3 linked regions of the Macaca mulatta genome follow. The protein of the gene in region 3 interacts with the protein of the main gene of each other region in a biochemical or structural test. Links are inferred from orthologs where the notes say so. Each region holds a gene or a part of one and is shown on either strand. Other genes may lie near its edges. The genes, in order: SNAP25, SNAP23 and STX4.

Region 1 (3,649 bases), on a different chromosome or scaffold from region 3:
CAAAACAAAACCAACAAACAAACAAAAAGAAAAGAAAAAGAAAGAAAAGAAAGTAGATCAGCAGTTTTCTGGGCATAGACATGTGGGATAGGGCAGGGACCACTGGGTGGGTAGGAAATTTGGGGGAATAATGGCTAAGTTCATTGTTTTGATTGCAGTCATGGTTTTCTGGGCGTATACATATGTCAAAACTTCTCAAGTTGTCCACTTCACATATGTGGGGTGTCCTGTATATCTGTTATACCTTAATAGAGCTATTTAAATAAATAAATAAATGTGACGATAAAAGTGCACTAACCCCAAACCACACCCCTCCAACCTCATCATTCCCAACCCTTGGGTAGTTTGTCTCTTTAGAAATATTTCATAGGTAGATAGGTGTCTACCTCCATGGTAGAATTGGCAAGTATGTATTTGTGGCACCTTTCGGAGAAATAGCACAATTCTCTTGACCCCTGTCTGAGCATGGCTTTCAGATCAGAAAACTGAGTCATGTGGACTGAATATGGGCCATGTAGATTTTCTGGTCTTTGCACACACCTACATGAACATATATAAGCTCTCATATTTTCAAATCTACTTCTTTCCAGGTCCAGAGCCAAACCCATCACTGACCCCCCAGCCCAGGCGCCCAGCCACTCCCCACCGCTACCATGGCCGAAGACGCAGACATGCGCAATGAGCTGGAGGAGATGCAGCGAAGGGCTGACCAGTTGGCTGATGAGGTAAGGAGTGGAGACCTAGGAAGGGAGGCAAAAGATGAAGGCCTGAGTGGTTTGTCTTTTTCAGGTTTAGGTAAGGAAAGGCTTTCTTTCAATGTCTCAATTTTAGAAAAAGTAGTATGACTTTGATTTTCTATACAGCTAAGCCTTCTGCAGCCCAGAATGAGTTGATTACAAAACCTGTATACAAATTAATGCCTTGGCCGTAACTCTCAATTTCTAGAAATCTTGAGAAGTCAAGGTTCTCTAAGAAAAGAAAGCAATGTCTTTGGGTGCCTTACATTCAGTGCTATGCTGGAGAAGGTTCAGTTCTAAGAACAGATTGTTAACATTTTCAGGAACTTTGCAAGCTGGTTGCTAAATGCAGCCATTATTAAAATTGAATCATATAAACTGACAATTAGATAGATTATATTAAAATCAAAAGTAATAAACACTCAAACCTCATCACTTCCTAATTATTTTGCCACATTTTACTATTATCCAGGATCTTGAGATCCATCCATTGTATCTGTAGGGTGGAAATAAGGTGTAATAATGTGTCACCATGTATCTTTCCAACTTCATGATCAGTAATATGAAGTTGTAGCTTAAAATCAGGCAGAGCTGAGTACAGTGGCTCGCACTTGTGATCTCAGCTGCTTGGGAGGCTGAGGCAGGAGGATCGCATAGGCCAAGAGTTCATGACCAGCCTGAGCAACATAGAGAGACTCCTACCTCTAAAAATATTTGAAAATTTAAAAATCAGACAGAGTAAAAGTATTTATAACCCAAGAATCTGCAAATACTGCAGATCAGGACTTGACTTATTGTTTCGCTGATTGCCTAGACTTTAAAAAGTGGAGAAAATATTAATAATGCAGATTAAAGTTAGAAATATGTATGTCTGCAGCCATTATACTATGAATAACACAAAAAGAGGAAATCTTCCAGTATTTGAAAGTTATGATTCTCTAAGGCAAAGAAATCCCTTTTGTCATTCACAAATGAAGAAATTTCCAACACATGTCTTCATTGTTTCATTTTCTTCTTACTCATTAACATAAATGAAAATATCCAACCAACATTCATGTCAGAACTACTCTGGTTCATCACATGGTTAGCTATAGATACAAGAGTTCAGCAAAAATCAGTAAAAGCTTTCTGTGAGAATCAATTGGCTATGCGGAATTTACAATAAAGAGAGTATCGTATATTTTATTATTATTTATAAATGTTGTGCTATTCATCCTTTACATCAGTAAAATAATAACCTTGAATACATGTATGTGTTCGTATATTTTTCCCAGAGAGCCAGTAGTTAAACCTTTACCAGCAGACTGCTGCTTGCAGCCATTCTGTTTCAAAAAGCAGCCAGCTGACAGGTCTTCCAGGGAAGTTAACATCCTTCAGGTTCCTGCAGAATCTTGTTCAAAATAAGTTTGTCACTTAAAAGCAAAGCTTTGAGAAATCATACTGGTTGTTGGATTCTAGTCGTTTCAAAAGAACTGAGGAAAAAAATGACAACGCCGTGCCTGGGGGACTGTTGCAGAGCTCAGACTTTCCATCTCATTTTTTCTTATCTAAGGATGAAGATAATTATTATAGCTGTCTCCTATAGGCTAGTCATTTCAAACATGCTTGATTTTTTTCACCCTAAGGCAACAACTTAATTTGTATTGATAAGAACTTCCAATTGTGTTTCTAGGAGCTTTGTAAGAAACTTGATGTTATATTCATCTCGATTCATGAAAAATTATGCTCGTGTTTAAAATTTAATATTCCTGGCCCAGGGAGGCCAAATTAATCCTCTGAGTATTTGAGATAATTTTTCATGCATTCTGAGCATGCAAAATTATCTTCTCCAGATTACTTTGTCTTTGATATCAAGATCAGCTTCATATGGTTTTGATTTTATGAATATAAGCTTTAATGTAATTGCTTTAGGGAATCTGATCATGTAAAAAGCCTGATAGGAAAGAGTTTGAAAACGTAATGACATTTTGTGTTTCACTTGCCAACTGAAAAGAATATGTGATAGAGACCCTTTGTGATTCTCAAGTAAATACAGTATTTCTGACTTTCCAAGACCTCTGGATCCTGCACTCATAAAGCTTGTGTTTGTTTGTTTTTTTAATCTTAGTCGCTGGAAAGCACCCGTCGTATGCTGCAACTGGTTGAAGAGGTAAGAAGTGACAGTATTTTAAGGTAAAGAAACAAATCCTTTATGCTGATATATCCTCTCCTAGTTGCTATTATGTTTCCTTAGTCCATGATCCCATAGATTCCAGTGTGAATGTAGCCTATCAGAAAGGCTCAGAATGAGGGAGATGCTGTATTTAAGTTGCCAGATAGCCATGAAGGCAACATCACCCTCCTTCCCAGCCCAAGCTACCTCTGTAGTCTGGGAAGCAGAGAAGAATAGAATTTCCAAGTCAGTGCTCTCAAGAAATCACAAAAGATTGTATCACTTTAAGCAAATCAGAGCAATTTTTAATATACAAAGGAATTATCTACATGAAATATTATTTGTAATTATTTTGGTGCCTATAAATTACATTTAATCTTGAGATTCTGTTCTAACTTTAGCCACATATATGACTTTTAAAAATATGTAATGCATATAGGTATATCATTTTAAGAAATTGTTCTATTTAAAGTTAAGCACTAAAATTTACGAAAAAAATAGGAAAGGCCTTTAAGAAAGGGAAATATCAAGTCCAATATTATAAATACAGAAGCTTTTCTATATTCCTGTCTGGATTAAGCATCCATTTGCGAGGCAGGATTAATGAATCCCAAACTATTTTTAAATGGGTAAAATGGGGCAGACAGTAATAATGGAATCAAAAGGGCACTTGGAATCATAAACCTCACTCATTCCAATTTGGTAGTACAGCAGTCGGCCAGCAGAATAAATGGATTAATTGAACTTGCCCGAAGGGAGA
Region 2 (4,209 bases), on a different chromosome or scaffold from region 3:
CCACCACACCCGGCTAATTTAAAATATAAAAATATAAACATACAAAATATAAAAATACAAAATTTATATATATATATATATATATATATATATTTTTTTTTTTTTTGAGACAGAGTCTTGCTCTATCGCCCAGGCTGGAGTGCAGTGGCTCGAGCTCGGCTCACTGCAAGCTCCGCCTCCTGGGTTCAGGCCATTCTCCTGCCTCAGCCTCCCGAGTAGCTGTGACTACAGGCGCCCGCCACCACGCCACCACGCCCGGCTAATTTTTTTGTATTTTTAGTAGAGACGGGGTTTCACCGTGTTAAGCAGGATGGTCTCGATCTCCTGACCTCGCGATCCGCCCGCCTCGGCCTCCCAAAGTGCTGGGATTACAGGCGTGAGCCACCACGCCCGGCCATATTTTGTATTTTTAGTAGAGACGGGGGTTTCTCTATTTTTGCTAGGCTGGTCTCAAACTCCTGACCTCGTGATCTGCCCGCTTCAGCCTCCCAAAGTGCTGGGATTGATTACAGGTGTGAGCCACTGTGCCTGGTGAAGCACTTTATTTTCTTGATTTCCAGCAGTTTGTTTTATTCTTAGAGGTGCATGGAAGGGTTCCTGCAGCAAATAGTTTACAATAATCATCCATCTGCTTAAAACTCTTCAATAGTTTTCAGTGCCCATAGTACAAAGTGGTCTAAAATTCCAAGGCCTTCCAAAATCTAGCGATTGTCGGCCTTCTAAAGCTTTCTTCCCTCTACACTCTGGGATGTACGATTAGCACTAAGCCTCTTACAAGGATGAACTACTAGAAATTTCCAGAAGGCGTTATGCTGTTCTCGACATAAGCTGTTTCCCAGAGCCTGGAAAACTCTAGCTCTTTCTCTGCCGGATTTCCGGGGGAACTCCTACTTATCCTTCAGGACTCAAGTCACTTCCTCCGGGAACCCTTCCAGACACCCCTAAGAATAAAACGCTTTGTTCATTATCAGCCAAAGGCGCCTCAGATTTTCTATGTGCTATGCACTGTATTCTATTCACTATAAATTTGTTTACATATCTATATCTTAGTCTAGACATATTGAAAGACGCTGAAGGGCAGGGAAAGCATTCTATTCGCTTTCTTTTCTTCATCGTTCATCCAGCACACTGCCTGGCACACGGTTTGCCCTCAGTAAATGTTTATTGCATGAACACCTCCCAGCTTCGGGCATGACCGGAATCTATCCGGTTAACTGGTGAATTCCCAGACTCTCCGCCTGCGTGGCAGGGACATTTAAACCCCCAGCACCGTGATTGGCTCCAGCTGCAAGGGTGTGTCCGTGTCCTCGGCGCACGGGATGTGCGCAGGCGCGCGGGCTCGGCGCGCGCAGGCGCGACTAGGGCGCCGCGCCAGGTCCGGTGTTGGGGTGTCCGAGCTGCGGCTGGAGAGGAGTGGCCTTACCCGCTTGGTGAGTCTCCAGGAGTGGGACGGAGGGAGCTGACCGGGATGAAGTCGGAGAGTATGTCCTGAGAAGAAAGAGTATATCGTATTGGTTGAAAAGTTGGTGGGGTCGGGCTTAAGCGGAGGAGGGGGCGCTCTGGCCCTTACTGGGCAAATGGGCCCGGAGCGAGGACGGGAGGTGCCGTGAGAACATCGAGGGGCCAGTGGAGGAAGGTGGCTGGATGGTGATTCTCTGGACCCTTCCTCGAAATTAAACAGAGATCACCTCCCGTCCCTCACCCCCACTGTGTTGCTGTGGTTGACATTAATAGACTGCATGTCTGGTGACCACGGTGACCAGATAGCTCTGAGATAATGGCTTGAGGAAGGACTCTCAGGTTCCTGGTATTGGATAGCACTTTCTCTGTAGAAAGGTTCAGCCTTACCTCGCGGCACAAATTAGAGGATCAGGAAAAGAATGAATTCCACAATTCGGGATTGTAGTGGTGGGGGGAAAAAGTACTGTAAAGTGCAGTTTCATCTCGTCCTTTTTTTCTTCTTTAATCATTAGTCACCACAATGTTAGGAAAGGCAGTTGATGGTAGGAGAAAACGTAAAGACATAAAAGTAGGGGAGAAAAAAAGTCAAGAAGGGAGTATCACTTTGCCTTTTGCTATTTGTCATCTCCTGGAATGGAGTCTGTATTAGTCCGATCTCACACTGCTATAAAGAAGTACCCGAGGCCGGGCTTGGTGGCTCATGCCTGTAATCCCAGCACTTTGGGAGGCCCAGGTGGGAAGATCACTTGAGATCAGGAGTTCGAGACCAGCCTGGCCAACATGATGAACTCCCATCTCTACTAAAAATACAAAAATTAGCCAGGCATGGTGGCATATGCTTGTAATCCCAGCTACTCCGGAGGCTGAGGCAGGAGAATTCCCTGAACCTGGGAAGCAGAGTTTGCAGTCAACTGAGATCATGCCACTGTGCTCCAGCCTGGGAGGCAGAGTCAGACTCCATCTCCAAAAGAAAAAGAAAAAGAAATACCTGAGACTGGGTAATTGATAAAGGAAAGACGTTTAATTGACTCTCAGTTCTGCATGGCTGGGGAGGCCTCAAGAAACTTATAATCGTGGTGGAAGGCAAAGGAGAAGCCAAGTACCTTCTTCACAAGATGGCAGGAGAGACAGAGTGAAGGGGAAAGAGCCCCTTATAAAACCAGTATCATGAGAACAGCATGGGGGAAACCACCTCCATAATTTAATCACCTCCCACCAGATTCGAGATGAGGTTATGGGTAGCCAAACCATATCATTCTGCCCCTGGCCCCTTTCTTTCTTTCTTTCTTTCTTTTTTTTTTTTTTGTTTTTGAGACAGAGTCACCCAGGCTGGAGCGCAGTGGCGCTATGTCGGCTCACTACAACCTCCAACACTTCAGCCATCCTCCTGCCTCACCCTCCTGAATAGAGACTACAGATGCATTCCACCAAACCTGCCTTTTTTTTTTTTTTTTTTTTTTTTGAGATGGGGTCTTGCTCTGTTGCTCAGATTGGAGTGCAGTGGCATGATCTCCGCTCACTGCAACCTCCATCTCCCAGGGTCAAGCAGTTCTCCTGCATCAGCCTCCCAAGTAGCTGGGATTACAGGCGCCTGCCACCACACCTGGCTAATTTTTGTATTTTTAGTAGAGATGGGGTTTGGCCATGTTGGCCAGGCTGGTCTTGAACTCCCGACCTCAGGTTATCCACTGGCTTCCACCTCCCAAAGTGCTGGGATTACAGGCGTGAGCCACCGCACCTGGCTAATTTTTGTATTTTTTAGTAGAGACGGGATTTCACTATATTGGCCAGGCTGGTCTTGAACTCCTGACCTCATGATCCACCCGCCTCGTCCTCCCAAGGTTCTGGGATTACAGACGTGAGCCACCACTCCCGGCTCCCCTGGCGCTTTTCTAATCTCATGTCCTCACAGTTCAAAACACAATCATGCCTTCCCAACAGGCCTCCAAAGTCTTAACTCATTCCAGTATTAACCCAAAAGTCCAAGTCCAAAGTCTCATCTGAGACAAGGCAAGTCCCTTTTGCCTAGGAGCCTGTAAAATCAAAAGCAAGTTAGTTACTTCTAAGATGCTATGGGGGAATAGGCATTGGTAAATGCTCCCATTCCAAATGGGAGAAATTGGACAAAACAAAGGGGTTACTGGCCCTATACAAGTCCAAAATCCAGTGGGACAGTCATTCCATCTTAAAGCTTATTTTAATCTCCTTTGACTCCATGTCTCACATCCAGGGCATGCTGATGCAAAGAGTGGGCTCCCAAGGGCTTGAGCAGTTCCGACCCTGTGGCTTTGCAGGGTTCAGGCCCAGAGGCTGCTCTCCTGGGCTGGCATTCAGTGCCTGCGGCTTTTCCAGGTGTATGGTGCAAGCTGTTTGTAGACCTGCCATTCTGGAGTCTGGAGGATGGTGGCCATCTTCTCACAGCTCCACTAGGCAGTGCCCCAGTGGGGACTCTGGGGGGGCTCCAACCCCATGTTTCCTTTCTGCAACACCCTAGCAGAGGTTCTCCTTGAGGTCTCTTCCCCTGCAGCAGACTTTGGCCTGGACATCCAGGGATTTCCATACATCTTCTGAAATCTAGACAGAGGTTCCCAAACCTCAATTCTTGACTTCTGTGCACCTGCAGCCCCAGCATCACGTGCAAGCTACCAAGGTTTTGGGGCTTGCAGCCTCTGAAGCAACAGCCCAAGCTGTACCTTGGTCCCTTTTAGCCATGAGCTGGAGCAGCTGGGACTCAGGGCCCCAAGTCCT
Region 3 (3,542 bases):
GCATTCAGCAAGCATTCAGCAGTTACATATTGGGTGCCTACTGTGTGCCAGACCTTTTTGGAACTGTTTAGGGTACAGCAGTGAATCAATGATCCCTATCCTCATGGAACTTCCCTTCTGGTGTAGACAATCACCATAATAAATAAGTGAATTATTTAGAACATAATAAGCATTAAGGAAAAAAGAGCAGCGGAAGAGGGACTGAGCATGCTGGAGGAGGGTAGCGTTGCAGTTGAAAGCAAGTGGAGGAAGCTTCATTCAGAAGGTGACATCTGAACAAAAGACTTAAAGGTGTTTGCGGGGAATGGGCATTCTAGGTAGAATGAGAAGTGAATGCAAAGGTTTAAGCTGAGAGTGTGCTTTGTCTAGGGAGGGCTGTAAGGAGACCAATGTGGATGGGCAGAGGGAGGGAACAGTAAGAGGAAGCAAGATCAGAGAGGGCTGGCCGTGCACCTTGGCTCACACCTGTGATCCCAGCACTTTGGAGGCTGAGGTGGGAGGATTGGTTGAGCCCAGGCGTTTGAGACCAGCCTGGGCAACATTGCGAGACCCCATCTCTCTCTGTTTTTTTTTTTTTGAGACAAGGTCTCACTCTGTCACCCAGGCTGGAGTGCAGTGGTGCCATCTCTGCTCACTGCAGCCTCCGCCTCCTGAGTTCAAGCCATTCTCCTGCTTCAGCCTCCCAAGTAGCTGGGACTACAGGCACCCACCACTGCACCCAGTTAATTTTTGTATTTTTAGTAGAGATGGGGTTTCACCATGTTGGCCAGGCTGGTCTTGAACTCCGACCTCAGGTGATCTGCCTACCTCAGCCTCCCAAAGTGCTGAGATTACAAGCATGAGCCACCGTGCGGGTCAACCCTGTCTCTATTAAAAATAAAAATAGGCCAGGTGCAGTGGCTCACACTTGTAATCCCAGCACTTTGGGAGGCTGAGGTGGGTGGATCACCTGAGGTCAAGAGATTGAGACCATCCTGGCCAACATGGTGAAACCCCATCTCTACTAAAAATATAAAAATTAACCATGCATGGTGATGTTCATCTGTAGTCCCAGCTACTTGGGAGGCTGAGGCAAGAGAATCGCTTGAACCCAGGAGGCCAAGGTTGTGGTGAACCAAGATTGCGCCACTGCACTCCAGCCTGGGCAATAAGAACGAAACTCTGTCTCAAAAAATAAATAATAAATAAATAAAAATAAAAAAGATCATGGAGGGCCACATAGACTTGCTAAGGGCTTTGGCTTTTTGTCTAAGAGAAATGGGGGAGCCTGTCAAGGTCATCACAAAGTGGTTAAGGTGGCAGACCCCGCATAAGAGCTCATGCTATTTGCTCACTTTACTATGGGATTGCCGAGGCCCAGACCGGGCAAGGATCCTCCCGGGGCACCCAGCCTATATTCTTCATCTTTAGCATGGGGTCCTGTCCCAGCAATTCGTGGAGCTCATCAACAAGTGCAATTCAATGCAGTCCGAATACCGGGAGAAGAACGTGGAGCGGATCCGGAGGCAGCTGAAGATCAGTGAGTTGTGTGTGCCCAGCCTGGCCTGCAGGGGCAGGTAATCCCAACCCAGCCCTGAGCCTGGCCTTTTCCTTCACAGCCAATGCTGGGATGGTATCTGACGAGGAGCTGGAGCAGATGCTGGATAGTGGGCAGAGCGAGGTGTTTGTGTCCAATGTGAGTGGCCACAGCCAGCCCCTCTCTGCTGTGCCTCCCATCTCCTCTGATTCCTATCCCGTTCTTGACCTTCTGGGCTCAGGTGATCCTCCTGTCTCAGCCTCCCGAGTAGCTGGGACTATAGGTGTGAGCCACTGGACTCCGCTTGCTATGTCCCTTTCTGATTGAGGGGACCCTGAGGCCCCTAAGGGAATTAATTAGCTAACCTGGAGTCACCCATCAGATTCCAGGCTGAGGGCTACCCAGAAGTTCAACAGGAGCTTCTGACCTGCTGTCGGTCTCCCTGTGAACAGTTGCCCCACTCCTGTCCACCCCCTAGATCCTGAAGGACACACAGGTGACTCGACAGGCCTTAAATGAGATCTCGGCCCGGCACAGTGAGATCCAGCAGCTTGAACGCAGTATTCGTGAGCTGCACGATATCTTCACTTTTCTGGCTTCTGAAGTGGAGATGCAGGTGAGTGCCCCGCGCAGCCCCAGACGTGATACCAGGCTCAGTCCAAACTGCCAGCCTCCTGCCACCCTTAGATTCTCTCCCTGAGGCTTTTGTGTCTTCCAGGTTTGGCCATCCCCCCAAATTGGTGCTTATTCTTATCTTTAGCTGTACCCCGAGAATGGCGCCTGCCTCTGCTGCTACCCAGATACCCACTCCCTTCTGCATAGCACCCTGCCCTCTCTCCAAAACTTGAGCCTGCCCAGGTCTGGCCCCAGCCCTGGCTCCCCCTCCACTAACAGCATCCACCCTGATACCTCTCAGAGGTTCAGTCAGAGTTGCCTTAGAGGGGCTGCCTCCTAACATCTGTACAAGGCTGGGGTGGGGGCGGTGTTCCCCTGGCCCTGGTTGCGTGAGTTGAGTTGAGCTTCCAGCCCTGTCCTGGAGGAGCTGGCCTCAGTCATGCTACAACCAATGCCCTTTTGCAGCTGAGACTTACAGGAAAGAGATCTCATTCAGTAGGAGCACTGAGACCTGAGGCTGGTGGTGCCAGGAGGAGGCAGGGATAGGGAGGGCTTTGCAGCAGCTGTAGATAGGCCTGGAAGAATGGGTAAATTCAGACAGATTTGTGAAGGCACAGTTCACCATCTGTGAAAGGTATGAGCCATTTGAGGTCCTTAGCTCCAAGCTACCACTGCAGATAGAGGTCATATGGGATAAGCGAGCAGGGGACAAGGGACTACATGATAGAAGGGACCTGGAAGCCATCTCCAAGGAGCCTGAACTTTTGTCAGATCGAGTCTTGCCCTTGTCTTTGTTAGTGCAATCTTTTTTTTTCCTGCCAGGAATGCTCTTCAGTCATCTGGGGTGGGGTGGGCAAAGGCATCCTTACCTCCCTGAATCACCCCATCCTCTGAGCAGGGGGAGATGATCAATCGGATTGAGAAGAACATCCTGAGCTCAGCGGACTACGTGGAACGCGGGCAGGAGCACGTCAAGACAGCCCTGGAGAACCAGAAGAAGGCGAGGAAGGTGAGCCTCCCAGGCCCAGCCTCTGCCCCAGGCACCCTGTGTGACTTCCCTGACCCCCTCCTCTCCCACAGAAGAAAGTCTTGATTGCCATCTGTGTGTCCATCACCGTCGTCCTCCTAGCAGTCATCATTGGCGTCACAGTGGTTGGATAATGTCACACATTGTTGGTGAGATGTTGTGGGCTGCCCTCTGGCCTGCCCCAGCCCTGGCCCCAGCCCTCCCTTCTCCCTCAGACCCTGTTCTCCCTCCTTTCCTTACAGGCACTAGGAGCACCAGGGACCCAGGGCCTGGCCTTCTCTCCCAGCAGCCTGGGGGACAGGGCAGAGCCTCCAGCTGGACCCCTTCCTCACACTGGCCCCTATGCAGAAGGGCAGACAGTTCTTCTGGGGTTGGCAGCTGCTC

Evidence for each region.
Region 1: the proteins of STX4 (region 3) and SNAP25 form a complex in vitro, tested with the Homo sapiens proteins (3 studies listed by BioGRID). The link is inferred for Macaca mulatta from reciprocal best matches to the Homo sapiens genes STX4 and SNAP25.
Region 2: the proteins of STX4 (region 3) and SNAP23 form a complex in vitro, tested with the Homo sapiens proteins (4 studies listed by BioGRID). The link is inferred for Macaca mulatta from reciprocal best matches to the Homo sapiens genes STX4 and SNAP23.

What each region holds. Positions count from the first base shown.
Region 1 is NC_133415.1:73,754,469-73,758,117, reverse strand, and holds part of SNAP25 (synaptosomal-associated protein 25), read left to right. Parts: intron 1-590; 5' UTR 591-653; coding exon 654-725; intron 726-2,844; coding exon 2,845-2,886; intron 2,887-3,649.
Region 2 is NC_133412.1:19,899,906-19,904,114, forward strand, and holds the start of SNAP23 (synaptosomal-associated protein 23), read left to right. Parts: upstream 1-1,353; 5' UTR 1,354-1,430; exon of another isoform or gene 1,431-1,481; intron 1,482-4,209. UniProt on the Homo sapiens protein: Essential component of the high affinity receptor for the general membrane fusion machinery and an important regulator of transport vesicle docking and fusion.
Region 3 is NC_133425.1:29,674,793-29,678,334, forward strand, and holds part of STX4 (syntaxin-4), read left to right. Parts: intron 1-1,410; coding exon 1,411-1,519; intron 1,520-1,598; coding exon 1,599-1,675; intron 1,676-1,994; coding exon 1,995-2,132; intron 2,133-3,029; coding exon 3,030-3,140; intron 3,141-3,211; coding exon 3,212-3,292; 3' UTR 3,293-3,307; intron 3,308-3,400; exon of another isoform or gene 3,401-3,542. UniProt on the Homo sapiens protein: Plasma membrane t-SNARE that mediates docking of transport vesicles. Necessary for the translocation of SLC2A4 from intracellular vesicles to the plasma membrane.